Xenopus tropicalis: one gene and its partner. The protein of the gene in region 1 purifies or fractionates together with the protein of each later gene. This does not show direct contact. Links are inferred from orthologs where the notes say so. Each region holds a gene or a part of one and is shown on either strand. Other genes may lie near its edges. The genes, in order: pkmyt1 and cyclin B5.

The links.
Region 2: the proteins of pkmyt1 (region 1) and cyclin B5 purify together in Homo sapiens (affinity purification with mass spectrometry; 4 studies listed by BioGRID and IntAct, with this or other methods). This does not show direct contact. The link is inferred for Xenopus tropicalis from reciprocal best matches to the Homo sapiens genes PKMYT1 and CCNB2.

The regions. Positions count from the first base shown.
Region 1 is NC_030685.2:12,691,686-12,694,330, reverse strand, and holds the end of pkmyt1 (membrane-associated tyrosine- and threonine-specific cdc2-inhibitory kinase), read left to right. Parts: coding exon 1-94; intron 95-893; coding exon 894-980; intron 981-1,508; coding exon 1,509-1,689; 3' UTR 1,690-2,079; downstream 2,080-2,645. UniProt on the Homo sapiens protein: Acts as a negative regulator of entry into mitosis (G2 to M transition) by phosphorylation of the CDK1 kinase specifically when CDK1 is complexed to cyclins. Mediates phosphorylation of CDK1 predominantly on 'Thr-14'. Also involved in Golgi fragmentation.
Region 2 is NC_030679.2:99,202,029-99,206,456, reverse strand, and holds the start of cyclin B5, read right to left. Parts: upstream 2,929-4,428; 5' UTR 2,914-2,928; coding exon 2,893-2,913; intron 414-2,892; coding exon 282-413; intron 209-281; coding exon 116-208; intron 1-115. UniProt on the Homo sapiens protein: Essential for the control of the cell cycle at the G2/M (mitosis) transition.

The DNA of each region.
Region 1 (2,645 bases):
ATGAGAGTCTTGGTGACGATGTGTTTGAGGTTCCACCCAGCCCATTGGCCGCTCACCGGAACTTTACATACCATGGGCAGGAGCTTATTGGCAGGTATCAAAGCTATTATAGTCAAATTTTGTCTTTACACAATTTTAATGCACCTATAATATGGTAACACATTTAGACTGGAGCACCTACTCCATATGGTGGAATGCATAAAACCCAAAAAGCCCACTTTTTTTGGTGGTTATATAAAAAACTTGTGGTTTTGTCTTTAAAAACTAGCAGGTCTACAGTAGGTTAGCGACACACTCAACATTTTCTCCGCTAGTTGAGAAAAGGTAGATCTGCTACCTTCCTTGAAACTATGCATGTTTGTGCAGAAATCTGCAAGCCATTTTAGCCAGCTTGGTCTGCCCAAATAATACTGATATCATTAGAGGCCAAATGGAAATGTGATCCTTGATCACCTGTTGTTGTTTATCTGGTTAGAGCAGTGGTGGGCAAACTTATTAGTCAACTGAGCCAAATATCAACAAAACAGCGATTGAAATTTCTTTTGAGAGGCAAATTTTTTGCAGTCACTGGCTCACTCGTGCATGTAACGAGCGAGCCTCCCCTGCACTGCGTATCCTGCCCCCCGCCTGTGCCGCATCTCCCGTAGCCCAAAGACCGCCCCATCCTTCTGATTTTTGCTATGGGCAACGAAAATGAGATCACACTGTATGTGCGAGCCCGCACCTGGAAGAGCCAAATTCAAGGGGCTCAAGAGCCACAGTTTGCCCACCACTGGGTTAGAGCCCCAGTTTGCTAAATAGCCTGAGTTATGAAATACTTTTAAAACAGAATTTGTAGAGGAAATTTATGAATAGTGATCTCAAATCAATGCCTTTTTTTCTCCTAACATAAGACATTCCCCAGACCTGCTCTCAAGACCATCACTTGGAAGCACCTCTACCCCTCGGAATTTGTCTCCTGAATTCAGCATGAGAAAGAGGTAAGTCACAGAGATCCATCACATTTACGGGCTGTGACACACGGGAGATTAGTCACTACATGACAAATCTCCCCGAAATGCCATCCCACCGGCTACAATTTAAATCGTCGGTGGGATGGCATATGCTGCACTGCGATTTGCCGAAGTTTCCACTCAAGGCAACTTTGGCAACTTCGTCAAATCGCGGCGCTGCATATGCCATCCCACCGGCAATTTACTTTCTAGCCGGTGAGATAGCATTTCGGGGAAATTACTGTAGTTGCCTACGACAAGAAAGATTTGTCGCGCAGCGGCTAATCTCCCCGTGTGTCACAGCCCTAAAACTTCATAGTAAACATTGTGGTGCCAGAGTAACATTTGTATTACGCTTTGGTACCCACATAATTTGTTCACTCCAAAAAAACAAGTTTTCAGCCACTGCTGATGAAAATGACCATAGTGAGTATGTATGAAGGTGATGGGAACCTGGGGGCAGAGACTGATATCAAGTATGTAGAATAAATAAAGGATAATAATCTCTATTTCTAGGTCTGCTTTGCCTCTAACTCCTAATGTCAGCCGGATTAGTCAGGAGTCTTCAGGCAGTGTGAAGTCTACTAGCCCCTCCACCAGTCATAGTTCCTCTGGATTTGTCGATGCCGAGGTCCAACGTTCTTCATTTCTCCCTCGCAATCTGCTCAGCATGTTTGACGATGCCACCGAGCAATGAAAGCGGTGCCCAGTACCACAGCACCAGACTTTTTCTTTCGATCATATATTTGACTCCAACCATTGGCTTTTCTCTGGAGAAAGAAGCTGAGATGTCTACCAAATACTGGATGTATTGAGACAGGGGCTCTTTGCTACACTGCACATTTAGCTATGAAAATGACACCGGATCTCTGCATTTTAGCAAAAAAAAAAGTTTCTTTATAAAAAAATGACTTGATTGCAGGTTTACAAACTGAAAGAGTAATAAGTTGTTCATGATTTTGCCATGATTACTGCTGTTTTCCAGTTCTTGTTGCAATATGTACAAAGTGATATATTTTGGTCCTTCACAAAATCATTTTGGTTTCACTAAAAAGTTGAAAGGAACATAAATATCTTGTATATGTAAGGGCTGTGCTTGACAAGTTTGTCTTCCTTTTCCTTATTATCGATCCTGTAAGATTTTCCAGCGGCAGGGATCGTCTATGCAACTGACAACCGGGAGAAGCCCAGTAATAATAGAGAAGCATTGAACTCATGTACTAAATAGGAAACTGCAGAGGCATGAATTTTCACATAGAGGCTATTGTACTTTCAAGATGATTGAATAGGTCATAGCTATAGCTTTATCCTTTGGTTTTATTTGTATTTTCAGTTCTAGGTGTAAAAATCACACCAGGGGTGTAATATAGATTTTTTAGTTACAATAACTAGGGATGCACAGAATCCAGGATTCTGCCTTTTTTGACAGGGTTCAGATTCGGCCGAATCCACAGTCCTACCTACAGTAGAAATAACCTCGCACTATGGCTTCCTAGGGTGCACTTGAATGTAGTAGGAAACTAGTTTGGATAGTAAGAAAGGCACACACTTAATCAAGGCACACCATCTAATGGAATAAAATAACTATACTTTATTAATTTATTTCTAAAAGATTATTAAAACCATATACAAGGGGAATAGGAAAAGTTAAAA
Region 2 (4,428 bases), on another chromosome or scaffold:
TATCAATCTTTAAGTCCCCTTTAAAGTAACCAGCATGCTCAGTGCATAACGAACAAGGAGTTGGATTCTGTTAGTTGTAATTCAACAGGAGAGCTAAAATAAGAACAGCACTTACCTCAGATCTGGGCCCACATGTTGGTTTGATTCTTAAAGCTACATTTGCTCTGGAGGTTACTTGTCTAACTGCTTTGACCGCCACCTTGCAGTTCTACAGAGGAGAAAAATTGTAATGAATTCTTAACATAACATATGTATGGTCATAGAAAACATTGTCTTTATACCATTATTGCAGGTTTGCGTCCTGGAATTACAGTCCTGTTACTGATTTCTTCTAGCGGGGCTCTATGTCCATGTACTTTGGCTTTGGCTGCCACCACTCCACCAACGACTGCATTGTCCATCTGTCCTGACTGCTGTGGAACAGAAAAAAAATTAAAGTAGAATACAATGAATAATTTTGCTTGATAACAGATATGCAACACTAAACTTCTAGTTTATTTGGGTGCAGTTCCTCAGTGGATGCTCTATAATGTACTGTTGCCTTGCACTGGTAAAACTGGTGTGTTTGTCTCAGAAACCCTACTATAGTCTATATAAATAAGCTACTAAGTAGCCATGGAAAAAAGAAAAAACACAGGTTACATAGCAGAGAATACAATGGGAATCCACTCAGTTTATCTGTTATCTGCTATTTAACCTTTACCTTTTCTTTTTTCTTCACTTTAAGGGCTCTGGCACACGGGGAGATTAGTCGCCCGCGACAAATCTCCCTGTTCACGGACGACTAATCTCCCTGAAATGCCATCCCACCGGTGAAAATGTAACTCGCTGGTGGGATGGCATACGCGGTGGCGCAATTTCATCCCATCAGCAATTTACATTCTAGCCGGTGGGATGGCATTGCTGGGAGATTAGACGCCTGCGACAACAGAGATTTGTCACGGCGCGACTAATCTCCCCGTGTGTCACTGCCCTGGGAGGTTATGACCTGCATTGTATGCCTCCTATGGCCTAAAGTAACAGTGCATGGGGATGACCCAAACCTTGTAGCCCATTATTAAAAAGGGACATAAAGGAAAAAGTATAATCTTGCTCAATGTTGCAATTTTTAAGACCACCGTGTAACAAATTTCTTATGCAAGCATACATATCCCCAGTTCCCCAAACATTCTATTAGTGCACTGCCAGCGAGCATTAAGTTCCCTTTAAACTGAATATCAAGTTACATAGTTTCAGGCCCATGACAGACCTTTGACTGCTCTTGGCTCTGAACAAGCAGAATGTGGGCATCATTAGCAGAAACTCAAGCCACACAGGCCCTGGTGCAACATTTTACTGGGGCTTCCAAATTCTCCTACTGCTCAGACTGCTTATCATATGCTTCTCAGTGCTGCAGCAGCTTCCCTTCACAACCTTGTGGGCCTCCCTCTCTGAACTATTTTGTACCTGGGGCAAGAATGAAGTGCATCAGAATTGAGCCTCTGTACCCTACTGTGCATAACCTTAATATGTTTGAAGCCATTTGGGTGGGGACCCATCTGTGATAAACACTGGGATGAGATGAATTGGCTAGGGGTGAGGTGACCATGGCTAAATTACCTAATTTGCTGTAGTTGTGTATTGAAGCCCATGTTCCAAATGGATAAATGCATTTTTCTGTGACCAAATAAATTAAAACAAACTGCATGGCTCAAGCACCAACAAGAGACATCAAGGCAGCAATTTAAATAGCCATTTTATCTGTGTTTTCCTAAAATATATATATATATATATATATATATATATATATATATATATATATATATTTATTACACACACACACACACACATATACATACACACACACACAATAGGCAATAATCGAGAAGTAGGGAGGCCATTCAAATGTTACCAGCAGCCCAATCAGCACATAGTTGCAATCTAGAATCCAATCTACCTATAGACCTGTGCATGATGAACAGGTGTTGCTAATATAGAACCAGCTGAAAGCTTAATTAAGCACTAAGTTACACAGCAGATTTTGATCAGATTTTGTGGTTCAGATTTAACATGATCCACAAAATATTGTCACGCAACTGCAGGAGATCTGATCCCCACAGTTGTAATGTAATGTCAGATCAGATAGTCAGATGATGGGATCATGGGGTTTGTTCCTGCAATTACATCTGACAGTCAATGTAGTTCAATGAGAAGAGTGTCAGACCCATCAGATTTTCTCTCAACATATGCAGACGCAGCATTCCCTCTGAACAAGAGTAATGTCAGAGGACCGATGTTCCATATACTGTAGTTTACACATGTCCCATTTTATGTTGACCCATGTAACAACATTCAGCTTGTATGATCCGTCAGCACCGCCCTACAAAATCTCCCATGTAGTTTAGTTCTAAAGGGGGTTTCATAAATACCTAAATATCTAATCATATGGCTAAGTAATACAAAAACGTGCAGGCCACTAATAAGCTCTAGAAGTCAGGCTAGCCATTGGTCACATACTAAACAGGCCTGATATAGGATTATTCATGGCAGTATTATGAATGGAAGCCTTAGTTAACAAAAACACAAACTATCTATAAATGTTCCTGCAAAGTGTAGGATTCCCAGAAACAAAAGCATTTTCCCTTACCACCTTTAATGTCAGATTCCAGTGACAGTAGTTTGAACCACATTTAATTATGCCATTAACTGGTATAATCAATAAATTACACACTATAACAAAATTGTCCAGAACTAGACACATTAGGGCTACAACATCTGCAGCATTGTAAGGGGTTTCACACAATGTATCCATTGTGCAAACAACTTGTTAGCCATCAGCCATTTAACCCAGAGAAGAAGTAATTCTACTTGCACCAACCTATGGGCCAATAATTAGAACAAATCCATACTCACCATAGCACCCCAAGTAGCCATACTGCCCACAGCCTACCTCTCACAAAACTCACTACTAATCACTGTAGCCTTCCAGAGTTTAAGAAAACATCCCCTGTTTCTGATTGGCTGGAACAGTCCTACATACATGCCTGTTTAACTCTTCAGTTGCTGCAGTATTTGCAGTAATACAGTTTCATATATAGCAAGGCACAGTCTTCATATAGGCATTTGGAGTGCATTTAAAAGCCACCCAAAAGAACAACTGCATTACTTTAATTGCCAACAATTCCTTTAACAATAATAGATGTGAAATGTGCCTTGTGCAAGAATGCACTCAAAACCCCCATATTAAGTATATTTCCTAGGTTTTATAGTGCCATCATATGTATCACACCAACATTCACCTTTAATTATGGAGACTTGCAGAATGCACATTGTGCAAGGCAGTACAGCCCTGTTTTGGGCATATTTCATAACCCTGGCTAGTTAAACATGAGCCCTGGATTGTATGCAAATGGATAAAGTGTTGTGCTTTGACACAGTAGGAAGGTAATTATGTTTCTAAAATAACAGGATAGCAGCTGTGGATAAGAATGGGTGAGGTATGAGAGTGTAGGCTAAAATGGGGGGGATGAGGATAAAACAGAACAGGTATGAGAGTGTAGGCTAAAATGGGGGGGATGAGGATAAAACAGAATGTTTTATCCTCATAGACTGACTTTTTATATGAGCAAAGATTTTGCATTATTCCTAAGCAAACACTGTGGGACTCCATTATGAATACAACATGTTTTGGTCCCATCAGCTTACTATATATATATATATATATATATATATATATATATATATATATATATATACTATTCCACAGCTACCCATCCTTTCCCATACCTATTTGCCACACCCCCAAAACTAAAGATCAAAGAACTAATGCTTAACAAAGAAGTATGCCTGCCTTTAGCAGGGAAGATCTGTGCCCCCAAAGATTCCCCCAGTAGCTCCCCATCTTTTTTTCTGCTGATTCCCTGCACATGCTCTGTGCTGCTGTCACTTACTGAGCTTAGGGACTGATTCATATATACTTCATATATTGAATATAAGATTTATAACACGTGGCTGATTAGTAATTGATTCAGATACTCATGTCAGCTTCAAAGCCAATGCAATTTGCGTAAGAATGTAAAAAAATTCAGCCCTGTAGCATCAGCTTCTATTACAGGTGAACCCAGAGCACACTGAGCATGTGTGTGTGTACATTTGTCTTTGCAAGACACTGCACCTTTTCTAACTCCAGCCCTGTATGGAGTGGGTACGGGTTTCATAACTAGTGATGAGTAAATCTGTCCTGTTTCGCTTTGCCAAAAATTTGTGAAACTTTGCAAAAATTCACATAACACGTAAAATGACGCACACAATTTTTTGTTTGTTTGTTTGCTGCTCAGTTTGCGAAAAAATCTGGCAATGGCGAAATGCAAAAAATTTCGCTCATTACTATTCATAACATCAGATTCAGATTTTCATTTGGATTCTATATCCTTGTGTTTTTCATGCTTT